3 separate regions of the Mus musculus genome follow, and all the other regions are reported to be linked to region 3. The links are microRNA targets in miRTarBase. Many come from high-throughput screens and were not tested one by one. Region 3 holds a microRNA gene; each other region holds the end of a gene's coding sequence.
Evidence for each region. The annotated mature microRNA mmu-miR-3071-5p reads ACUCAUUUGAGACGAUGAUGGA and lies in region 3 at 1,411-1,432, shown strand. An mRNA with a match to its seed (bases 2 to 7 or 8) in the 3' UTR can be bound and repressed. Matches are read on the target gene's strand: a 7mer-m8 pairs with bases 2 to 8, a 7mer-A1 pairs with bases 2 to 7 and ends in A, and an 8mer does both.

Region 1 (4,067 bases), not on the chromosome of region 3:
CACAATTCTTATTCTATGTCTGGTGTCACCTCTTTCTGTGTACTTTTGATTGCATGAGATATGAAAATCAGTGACTTATACAATTCATAGAATCAGAAGTTATCAACATAAAGAAGTTGTTCTAGGAATAAGAAGAAATACAATATATGATACTAAGTGAACAATTTGTTTGTCCCTTGGGAAGTAACTATACTTCGAAAAAAAAACCAGTGCAATGGGTGGCATGATTTACTATGATGCGCTGTGTGATGAAAGTTGTTTAACAAGTAATAGCCTGTGAGTTCATGTGCTTGGGTTCAGGAAGCAAGAAGATAGAGTTAAATTAAAAGGTGGAAAAATGGTGAAAAGAAGGTACACCCAATGCTTATCACAGCATCACACAACAGACAAACATTCCGACTCCACGTGCTGCTCGTGGGCCATTTAAGCACAGCATGAGCTAAGGGCTGACATGTGTATGGGTTTGGATTGTGGCTGTCTCCTTTCCCATGGATAAGGATATAGATTGCACAAGGATACCTTTTTGGTCTTTATTTCTTCAGAGCATGAAAACAAACAACTGAAAATGAAGTAGGTGACAGTGAGGAGAGGGGACATTCCACAGTACAGAACATGCTGTGCCACTGGTGATGAAATCACAAACAGTTAGAAACTTTATTGATTTTTGTTTTTGTTTTCTGTGTCAATAATGTGTACCAATTGTCAGGAACAGCACCGAGTGTGCCTGTCCCCCTAAAGCCGTGCACAATACACACAAAATAAAAATAATCAAACAAATCAAATGAAATCATTTACACATAATAATTAAGAACCCTGAAGATCCAGATCAGATTTTCCCTACAGCATGAAGACTGAAAAGGCAAACACACCAAAAAGCTTGAACTTGAAACTGACCAACAGCAAGACGTTCTTGGGAAGTTCTCTGTGAAATTCACTACAGAATTATTGACATTCCGAAGATGGCTTAAAAACAAAACAAAAAAACAGAACTAAACAAAAACCAGTGCAAAATCTTTCTAAGGTTTTTAACCACATATATCCTTTGACTAGATTTACTGGGTATGTCTAGGCTAGCTTTCCACTTTTAAAATCTAAAATTAAGATTAAAAAAAAAATCAAAACAGGATGGCTTAGAGGGCTCCCCTGAGGAGTCCCCACTGTCACCACTGTTGGTGGCCTGTGGAGTGTTGTGATGGAAAGGTACCATTGCCACAGAGACTAAACACCGGCTAATTAGCTCTTCTCAGTGATATTGGTCACCACCATAGTGTCCTGCTTGGCCTAAATTAGGAAGATAAAAATACCTGCGAGTTGGCCAAGGCTATAAAGAGTACTTTTCCAGAGCTAAAAATTACATTCTTTTAGGAAAAACAAAACATGAGCATTTGGTCAACTGCCTTTGTTGTGCAATTTTAATGTGCCTAGGTTAAAAGTCATAATTCCTTTTCTCTTCCAAGATCAAAACTGTCTCAGTGTCAACTCTCACTCTCTGAGGAGGAATCCCACTCACTACATTCCCCTTGGGAGCAGGAATTTGGGCTGTCTTGGTCACTGTTCTGCTCCCAGGTTGTAGTATTACCTGGCCTACTGAACGGGCAACAAGTTTCTATTCACTCAGTCACTACATGTTGGTTAAACAATGAATGGTTATGATCACTGAGTGGAAGGAGGGAAAGGAGTTCTCAGCTACATTTATCTCTTAAGTATCTGGAGTCAACGCAGAGGGCCAGAAAGGCTCAGAGAAGTGTCTGAGAGATGGGCCAAGCCGTCCCATTTCCCATCAGTAGAATCACAGCTTTTGGAATGTTGGGTTTATCTCTGCTCTTTGGTATTTTGAATGGAAAGAGTCATTCCTTGCAATGGTTACTCCCAGTCTCTTTGAGTAACGTCCTCTTAGTCATACCCAGTGGACCTCTAAAGTCCCACTGGTCACTCAGACTTCCACTCAGGAGTTGCTATCTGAACTGAAAGGTGAACAAAACAGGGCTCAAAACAGCCTTCTCCATTAATAAAATCAACTAGCACTATCTATCATCTGTGCCAGACAGAGCAGATGTGCAATAAATATGTTGGGGGAGGGGTGGTGTGGAAATGGTGGCTGTAAAAATCCAGGCACATCCAAAGTATCCACTGGTCTCCCAGCCTTTCTTCTCAGTCTACCTGAATTAATGGGTGATTCTTAGAGACCTCTGATGTGCTCTACATGGCTATTATTTCATAGACATCTTTGTAGTTTGCCTGCTATCCTCTCAACTTTAATATCTTTTCACACGACAATTATTGCTTCTTAGTAATGAGCGTGCAAGATTCATGAACAATAAGCCATTTTCTTCTTTTATCCCTATTAATATCCAAACTCAATCACAACTCAAAAGGAACAACTCAGGTGAAAAGAAAACTCACTTATGTCTTCAATGTCCAATCAACATCGCTGAATGGGAGGACAGTATTTGCTATACTCTACTATATACAGATACGCTTTGTTTTATTTGTTTTTCGTCCATGCACTGTGTAATGGGGATCACGACAACAGTCCCTAACAGGCACATGAAGGAGGGGCAAATGTTCAGTCATGACTGGAACAGGATTGTGCAAGCCATGGATGCCACTGAAAATAAAACGGATGGAAAATCCCAGGCAAGAGCAACATGGGACCTGGACACACGTGATGACTGAAATGGTAGGGCTTTGGGGGTGGGGTTAATTTTCCTCCTTGCAGGGGCTGGGTGGAGGGCAGGAGGAGGTCTGGGATGGAAAACCCGGGGAACAGGCTGGGCTGGAAGGAGTAAGGGTCTTGCTAATCACAGTTCAGAGCTAGAAATAAGGGATGAAGGGTTCTATGAGTTCCTGGGAATCTAGGCACATTATCCCTGTACCTGTTGAACAAGAGTGCCAGACACCGTATCCTTAAACTATGTCTAGAACCATTGCTTTTCCTGGCTCCTTTTCAGCTCCCATGCTTCTCTCTGGAGGCAGTTCACCACTGTTCACATTCCGGAGATAAGCATACAATTTGGTAATGTAGTGAAGATGTGGTTTTTTTCTTCTTCCACGCCCAGCTCCTTCCTTAATCCAAGTAATGTTTAAAGTGTTCGGAGGAGGTGAGGAGCGAATCTTAATGATTCTAATATTCATCCAAAATCCACTCCCCTTTGGGTGGATCACTACTTTCTATAAGGAGAAGATCTTGGCCCTCCAAACAAAACAAAGCAAAACCAAAACCAAAACCGAAAGCCAAACATCAGCCACCCACATCCCTCCCTCTCCCCCCACCACTGGAAACAAAACAAAACAAAACAAAACAAAATAAAACAAGAAAACAAATAGAAGCCTTAACCATTTAAGAACTCGGAGAGAGTATAGCTCTTCTAGGACGAGCTGCAAGATGACCCTGCCTCCATGCCTTGTTCAACTTGATGATGCCCGGGAATGGGAGATGATGGTTTCTGACTTCCGGCCTAGTACGGATGTTCTTGAAGCTGGATTCCATCAGCAGTTTAAGTGAACATGACAAATGTCAGTTTCCTCTGTTCATTATACATAATTTTTATGTATATATATATGTATACATATATATATATAAATTTACTATATCTGATTGTTCCTTTAGAAGCCCTTTATGTGGCAGTAGGCTTCCAGGGAGGAGAAGAAAATGTACAAGAGCCACAGGAGCACAAACAGGGAAGATGTGAGGAGCTTGGCAGTCCGGGGCCCTCCCAGCTCACCTCCTATTTCTGGCCTCCGCCGATACAGCAGCACCCCCACGTTGATGAAAGCAAAAATAGTGAAGAGAGTGACAGAGAAAGCTAGCGTGCCGGGGGACACTTTGAACTGTTCCCCGTTGGCCGCATGGTAGATGGCAGCAATGGACCAGGCCACGCCGATTCCCAGGAAGACATTCACAGCATTGCTTCCAGTGACATTGCCTATAGACGCATCTGCATACTGGTCCTGGGTAGCTGCTACTTTGCTGGCAAATGTGTCTGCAGAGAGAAGAAACAGACCATGACACTGAGTTAACCTTTCAAAATAGAGTCATGAGGTACAAGGAGCTTCTATTGTGTACA
Region 2 (4,067 bases), not on the chromosome of region 3:
ATCTCTTGGTAGTAAAGCACTTGGCCCTGGGTTGCTTTCCCAGGGCTAAAATTGGAGAGAAGAGAACATAAGGGAGCCTGGAGTTTTATAAGCTAGTTTTAAAAAGTTAAAGTCGCTCCCCAACAAAATGTCTCCATGGCATCAGCCCTGCCTCCAGGTAACTGAGCCGACCACCTTTGATGGTGAACTGTGATATGGAAGAGTAGGGTTTTAAATTTTGTTTTCCGTGCTTAGGGACCAAATCCAGGGTGGCGGTAGGCAGTGTTCTCCCACTGAACTAGACCTCTTACCCTGAAATAGTATTTTTAACTTATTTGTGTACTTTTTTTTTTAAGTCCTGGGAATAAAATTAGATCTCACATATGAAAAATAGGCAGTCTGCGATGGAGTTACATGCTGCCGCCCCCTTCAAGGGCTATTATTCTTTGTTTTTCGTGGTGCATACATGTAGGTATGTGTTCATGTTTGTGTGTGCATACATGCATGCATGTGGATCAAAGGTCAAACCTCAGGAGCTATTCACCTTGGTTTTGTTCTGGTGTGTGTGTGTGTGTGTGTGTGTGTGAGAGAGAGAGAGAGAGAGAGAGAGAGAGAGAGAGAGAGAGAGAGAGAGGAGAGACCAAATGAAGATATGAAGATGTCAGGTACTGTGTTAGCTTTATATAAACTGGAATAGAGTCACAGGAGTGGAAGGAATTTCTGCTGAGAAGTCAGTCCCTAAGATCAGGTTTGTAGGCAAGCCTGTAGGGCATTTTCTTAGTGATTGATGGAGGGCGGCCCAGGCGATTGTGGGCAGTACCTCTGTAAACGGTTGTCCTTGGGTTGTATAAAAAAAAGCAGGCAGAGCAAGTCATGAGGGGCAAACCAGTAAGGAGCCCACCTCCATGACCTCTGCGTCAGCTCTGCCTCCAGGTCCCTGACGTGAATGTCTCTGATGGTGAAGCGTGATATGGAAGAGCAAGTGAAACTGAACCCTTTCTTCCCAAATTGCTTTTGGTTGTGGTGTTTTGTCCACAGATACCTTCCCCTGTCCCCTTCCGCTTTATTCATTTGAGAAAGGTTCTCTCAGTGAACTCAGAGCTTTCGGTTTCAGGGAGGCTAGGTGGTATTAGAAATACTGTCTCCCAAACCAAATAAAAAGTTATTTAAAAAAAAAATTGGGCTGGCAAGATAGCTCGGTGGATAGACACTGACGACCGTGACTTACAAGGTAGAAAGAGAAAACTGACTGCCCCTCTCCACACACACAGAAATCTGATAAATCCTGAGGTTCGGATTCTTCGCAATGTAGCAATGCAGCAATGCCTGAACTTGTTCCTTCACGTATGCTTTTTGTTTTGTTTTTCGAGACAGGGTTTCTCTGTGTAGCCCTGGCTGTCCTGGAACTCACTTTGTAGACCAGGCTGGCCTCGAACTCAAAGGTCCACCTGCCTCTCCGTCTGTGTGCTGGGATCAAAGGTGTGTGCTACCACTGCCCAGCCTTCATTTCCCCATCTCTGAGATGAAATTCTGAGATCTTGTCTCACTCTAAAACCTTTTTCCTCATGTTGGTGTAACCGTGTACTCCACAGCGTGGCTGCCCCCCAGGAGAAAAATGATTGTAGAAGGCCCAAAGGCGGAACACAGCAGCACGGAGGTGAGGTAAAGGCAGAGAAATGGCAGATTTATAATGTGGGCCACACAGCCATGAAGGCCATCGAGTCTCCAGATCTGCAGTCTGCCAGCCAACTGCACAGTCACTAGTTTCTGACTCCAGTTCAAAGTCAACAGGGTTAGGTCTCATTAGAGCAGAAGCGACTAACAAAGTCTGACATCTACTGTTCCTTCTTTGCTTTCTCTTCATCTCCTGCCTTCCTCTCTTTCTCAGGCAGGGTCTCTTGATGAACCTGGAGCCCACTGAACTACACTGGCTGGCCAGTGGGTCACTGGGATCCATCAGTCTCTGCTGCCCCAGTACTGGGGTTCCAGAAGTCGCCATGTCTGTTTTCTATGTGGAAGCAGGGATCCAAACTCACGTTCTTATGCTTTTTTGCAGGCACTGTACCCCCAAGCTATCAGCCTCGCCTTTTGTTTTTAACTCACATTAGAAAAGCAATCAGCTTTACTGGGTTGACCACTAAACGTTGTTAATCTCATCCAGAGATACCTTCAGACATAACCAGAGTACTTGACTAAGATACGGCCACTCTGTGGTTTAGTAAACTTGAGAAGTGACAGCAAACACTACCAATTATTAAGTGTCCATGTTGGGCATTTCCTGTGTAATATAGCATTCTGCAAGGCAGTTATTACCCGTATAATTAAACTAAGAAACCAGAGTTTTAAAGATTTAAGTAGGTTGTCTCAAGTCACTTAACTAGAAGCTAGCAACAGAGTTCATTTTTCATTTGCTTTTGTTCTTAAACAAGGTTTCATATACCCTGGGCAGGCCTTTTTTTGTTTTTTAAAGATTTATTATTATATGTGAGTACACTGTAGCTGTCTTCAGACACACCAGAAGAAGGCATCAGATCTCATTCCAGATGGTTGTGAGCCACCATGTGGTTGCTGGGAATTGAACTCAGGACCTCTGGAAGAGCAGTCAGTGTTCTTAACCGCTGAGCCCTCTCTCCAGCCCTGGGCAGGCCTTAAACATGCTTGGTAGTGATGCCTTGAACTGATCCTCCCGCCTTCATCTTCCAAGTACTGGGACTACAGCACTGTGTACACACTAGGCAAGTATTCTACCAACTGAGCCCCACCCCAAGCCGGAGTCCAGTTTCAAGTCTGGGGTAAAGCAAACTTTTTTCCAGCAATAATAAAAATCCAAATTGGAATGTCCTACAGAACTCGCGGACAGCTGAGGATGCCCTTCAACTTCTGACGTTCCTGCTTCTGCTGAGTGCTGGGACTACAGGTGTGCACCACTATCTGGATTATGAGGTGCTGGGGATCGAACTCAGAACTTCACCATGGCTAAGCAGGCACTCTACCTACTGAGCTAGGCCCGAAGTCCATAGATGCACCATTTAAAACAACCTTTTAGAATATATGCACACCATTTAGTTGTCTTACTCTTCAAAGGATACAAGCTCCTTTAAGCTGAACATTATAAATACAAATTTTATTTAAACTTCTTGTGTGATTCAAGTAGAAAAGTCCGCCCTTGACTGCTACACACAATGGAGAGCGAAAGACTTCCGCCTCCTGACAACCACTTCTCTTTCTCCCACGCTGTCATCTTCTTGCTTGTAAATCAAGCTTTTAATAAATTACAAGTGTGTAATAGGTCCTTGTCCGTTGTCTTTCTAGCTACTTAATGCACTGTTGCATAGCAACAACTTTGTTTTCTGCTGCATCTTTGTTGGAAGTCTGAGAGTCTGAAATCTGCACTGGCTTGGGTGAGCGTGGGAATTTTTCTGGTACCACGCATGCAAATATCCATTGTAGAAATCAGTAGCTGTTAGTGTTTTCTTAAGCATTACTGACCGAACACCGATCCAGCCATCCTAAAGGACAAAGAACAGATAGTGAGTAGACAATGGGGGCAAAGCTTGACAACAAAATAAACTGTACTTTATAAACCTCGTCAGGCATGGTGATGCAGCCTTTAACCCCAGCACTGGGGAGGCAGGCCAGGCCGATCTCCGAGTTCAAGGAAAGCCAGGGCTACCTAGTAAAGCCATATCTTTAGAACAACAAAAACCTCAAATGTTATAGAAACAACTGCTGTTACTAACCACTTAGCTGCAAAACACATTGTACTGGATGACATGCAATGCCTTGTCTCTAAAAGTTCCTCATGAAGGCGCAATAACAACTGTCCTAACCCATTTCAACTGAGGAAATAGAATACAACGTTACCCAAACATAACAAGTCAAGGCTGGAGAGTTGGCTCCATAGTTAAAGAGCATGCACTGCTCTTGCAGAGGACCAAGGTTGGTTCTCAGCATCCACTATTGGGCAGCTCACAACTGCCTGATAATTCCAGTTCTGCGGAATTCAACACCTCTGGCCTATGTGGGCACTTGCACAATCACATGTACATATCTACACACACACACACACAGAGTTTTAAATCCAAAAA
Region 3 (4,067 bases):
AGAAAATTGAGAAGTAACAGAAGGTGCAGAATTCATAAAGACAATAGCTATATGGCTGAGCTATTGAATAACTAGCTTAATTTGTTTTGCAAACCAATACATCCCTTTAAATTCAATTTCCGTGCACTAAACCCTCCATGGCTAGATTTTCAAAAATTACGGAACAATCAGATTTCAAAGGTCCCATGCCCCCCCTTTCACCCAACTTCATACCTCTGTTAGATATACCCCTGTACCAGACGAAATCAACAGTGACAGAAAAGGGGGGGGGGGCACTTTTGAGAACGAAAACCCTGCTCCTGCCGAAGCAGAGGAGAAACTTGGAAAGATAGCATTTGTGAGACGTGCAGAAATGTTTGCATGAGCAGAATTGAGGCCAGATGTTTAAAGCTGCAGGAGCCCTGCAGACCAGGCAATCCTGGGAGAACAGTTTTTTTGAAAGCCCGGGAAAGGGTGTTTAGAAAGCTCCGACTCAGCTCAGAGCTGGAGAAAACGTGGCTTTGGACAGAGATCAAACCGAACAAGAGAAATGATACTATCCCTCCCCCACCCCCCTCTTATCCTGCATATGCACAAAGTGTGACCTAGGATGAAGCCATGAAAGTGCATGTTTTCAGCACATAGTAGGCATTTTATAAACATTTATGGGGAGCAAAATTAAAACCAAAAGCCATGGCTCTCTCTCACTTATTTCGGCTTGGAGCCTAGAGGAGGAAATAAGAGCTATTTTTGGCTGTTGACCCAACTGGCAGGATAGTGGCCAAGTGCCCAATTTCTCCTCTTTCCCCAGTTTGTGAAATAGCAGGCATCTCCCTGCAGATTCCCGCCTCCAACCAAGCTCACTGGGCTGGCTCTAGACCACCAAGCCTGCCAGCAGCCGCTTTGAGTGGCATTGAGATGTGACCTTTATGACTTTTGGGTGACTACAAATGGGAAGGGAACCTGGCCAGGGCAAAGCGGGCCAGAAGTGTGCCCTGCCAGGTGCTAGCTCGCCACAGAGGACGCTCCAGGCCAGTTGCTCCACAAAATTTATGGGCTGTGAATTTCTCATTCCACTAGAGGAAGTAGGCAGGTGGGGTAGTCAGACTCCGCCTGGAAGGCAGGTCAGGGGGTGACGGTCTTTCCCCTGGAGGTGCCCCAAGTAACCAGAAAAGGAGGCTGAACTGAATGCAGGAGGAATTTCTCCATTTTCTCTCTGATTCTAGTAACTTGGCATCTGCTTTGTCCTTGAGATAGAATCTGACCCTGCCATCTTGAGAACCTAAATTGCTACATTTTCTCCTGTCTTTTATCCCTCTGTCCCTAGGTTTTGGTCTCCACAGTTGCGGTCTCTGACCACACACATCACAATCTTACCAGTCTTCAGAGCACACTCCTTTCCAACCGACGACATGATAGAACCCTCTGAAGACTCATTTGAGACGATGATGGAGCTTAAGAATCCATCATCAAAACAAATGGAGTCCTCCGAGGGCTCATCCAACACCGTTGAAGAGACACCAGGCAGCAGTGGAGCCCAGGCGGGGGCCCAGGCAGGGGCCCAGGCGGAGGCCCAGGCGGAGACCCAGGTGGAGGCCCAGGCGGAGGCTCAGGCTGAAGCCCAGGTTGAGGCCCAGGTTGAGGCCCAGGCGGGCTCAGATAGTGGCCCAGCCCAGGAAGAAAAGGAGCCACCCAGTGGCCCCCTCAAGGAAATGCAAGAGCTGCCCACTAATCTACTCCAAGAAGTGGAGGAGCCATCCAGTGGCCCCCACCAGGAAATGCAAGAGCTGCCCACTGATCTACTCCAAGAAGTGGAGGAGCCATCCAGTGGCCCCCACCAGGAAATGCAAGAGCTACCCACTGATCTACTCCGGGAAGTGGAGGAGCCATCCAGTGGCCCCTACCAGGAAATGCAAGAGCTACCCACTGATCTACTCCGGGAAGTGGAGGAGCCATCCAGTGGCCCCTACCAGGAAATGCAAGAGCTACCCACTGATCTACTCCGGGAAGTGGAGGAGCCATCCAGTGGCCCCTACCAGGAAATGCAAGAGCTACCCACTGATCTACTCCGGGAAGTGGAGGAGCCATCCAGTGGCCCCTACCAGGAAATGCAAGAGCTACCCACTGATCTACTCCGGGAAGTGGAGGAGCCATCCAGCGACCCCTGTGAGGCATCATCTAACGATCTACCCCAAGACATGGAGGAATCAAGTGATGATGGTTCGAACCAGGAGTCGAGTGATGGTTCAAACCACGAATTAAGTAATGGTTCAAACCATGAGTCGAGCTTTGGTTCAAACCCAGAGTCGAGCGATGTTTCCAACCTGGAGTCAAGCGGTGGTTCAAACCAGGAGTCCAGCGATGGTTCACAAAAGGAGTCAAGCTATGATTCAAACCCGGAGTTAAGTGATAATTCAAACCAGGAGTTAAGCGATAATTCGAACCAGGAGTCAAGCGACAGTTCAAACCAGTCAAGTGATATTTCAAACCAGGAAGGGTCGGAACCACTCAGTGAGGCATCCGATTATAGCATGGATGAAACAATCAACTCATCCGAGACCCAGTCAGACCAAGATGATACTGACCTGGGAGATGACGAGGAAGAGGAGGAAGAGGAAGGTGGTGAAGAGGAAGGTCAGCCCAAGAACTCTCCAGAAGAAGTCGTGGCCACCATGGGGAACGTCATCTCGCTGTTCCTCCGGATGCAAGACCTAAAAGAACAACAGAGAGTGGCAGAAAGGCTCATGATGCAGGCTATCAACGAAGGTCGCCTGCCCTCCCTCAGGCCCTTCTCTGGAGATCGCAGAGACTACCATGAGTTTGTCGTGCTCTGCCAGATGACAATGCAGAACTACCCAAGTATGCTATACAATGATGAGCTGCGGGTGAAATTCGTCATCCGCCACCTGACTGACCTAGCCTTGGAATGGGCCAACGACCTCGTAGAGCAGAACAGCCCAGTGATAAACAACTTCTCAGCCTTCCTGGAGGCCATGTCAGAAAAGTTTGAGTATCGGCAGACCCTGCGTGTGGCGGAAGACGCCATGTTCAACATCAGGCAGGGGAACCGCTGTGCGGCCGATTACATCAATGAGTTCCGGGGTCTGATACCCACCTTAGGCTGGCCAGATGAAGTCCTGCAGGCCCACCTGTGCCAGGGGCTCAACGAAGAGATCAGGCACTATCTGTTCCGGATCCCTCAGCCGAATTCCCTAGACAACCTGATTGTACTTGTCCTGCAACTTGAAGAAAAGCTGGCAGAGAGAAGAGCATTACTCAGGCTGCCACCTGAGTCGCGCCCAAGAAGCGTAGCCTGGATGGATGCTCCCGCCCCAGAGAAGTGGAGGGTAAGCAGCTGGCTGCCCAATGAGTTCCACCCAGACATTGATCGCGATCACCTCTTCTTACTGCTCTTGGTGAGAGTGGACCCCTACCACAGTGTCGCAGTGCGGGCCCTGGTGGACTCAGGAGCAGAAGGGAACTACATGGATGAGAGGTTTGCCCAGGAACACTATGTGGAACTCTATGAGAAGCCTTATCCACAGATAATCCAAGGTGTGGATGGCATCCCAATTGGCAATGAACCCGTCTGGCTGTGCACCGAGCCCCTGGTATGTGTCCACCAGAAGCATTATGAGTACATCGAATTTGACATCTTACCTTCGCCCAACTTCTCCATCGTCTTAGGCATGAAGTGGCTCCGAACCCATGCCCCTGAAGTCGACTGGATGAGAGGCCGGTGTACCTTCCACTCTCCCTACTGTCTGCGGAATTGCTTCACCCCACCTCCACCATGCATCGCACTAGAGACATACAGCATAAGCCTACTGCCCGGATTGCCACACACATACTCAGACCTGGCCGACGTGTTTAACCCGAGGGAGGCAGATGATGAGACTTCCGACCAGCCAAGCTCAGACGGATCCGATGATCTTTCTGAATCAGAGCCCTCTGAGCTTCAGCAGGCTGGAGACAGTGATCAAAGCGGCGTCTTTTACGAGTCTGGGGCCCGAGAGACTTTGGAACCTGTGAGCGCCAGGATGCAAGAGAAAGCCAGGCAGCAAGAGAAAGCCAGGGAGCAAGAGGAA

Region 1: miRTarBase lists Slc8a1 as a target of mmu-miR-3071-5p. The part of its 3' UTR that is shown has no 7-base or 8-base seed match.
Region 2: miRTarBase lists Mtfmt as a target of mmu-miR-3071-5p. Seed matches in the 3' UTR shown: 7mer-A1 at 2,512-2,518.

Annotation. Positions count from the first base shown.
Region 1 is chr17:81,385,085-81,389,151 of GRCm38, forward strand. Slc8a1 (solute carrier family 8 (sodium/calcium exchanger), member 1) reads right to left here. Exons shown (of 11, transcript NM_011406.3): 11 at 1-3,983. The coding sequence ends at 3,607. Among named protein-coding and RNA genes, the nearest start is that of Gm33944, 100 kb to the left of the region's middle.
Region 2 is chr9:65,451,426-65,455,492 of GRCm38, reverse strand. It overlaps Mtfmt (mitochondrial methionyl-tRNA formyltransferase), which reads right to left. Exons shown (of 9, transcript NM_027134.3): 9 at 2,439-3,488. The coding sequence ends at 3,288. It also overlaps a transcript of Spg21 not described here. Among named protein-coding and RNA genes, the nearest start is that of Spg21, 7.5 kb to the left of the region's middle.
Region 3 is chr12:109,592,728-109,596,794 of GRCm38, reverse strand. Mir3071 (microRNA 3071) reads left to right here and starts at 1,398; the gene lies at 1,398-1,477. Rtl1 (retrotransposon Gaglike 1) reads left to right here. Exons shown (of 2, transcript NM_184109.2): 2 at 1,307-4,067. The coding sequence starts at 1,392. 6430411K18Rik (RIKEN cDNA 6430411K18 gen) reads right to left here. Exons shown (of 1, transcript NR_002848.3): 1 at 3,944-4,067. Mir127 (microRNA 127) reads right to left here and starts at 3,949; the gene lies at 3,880-3,949. It also overlaps Mir434, Mir432 and Mir136.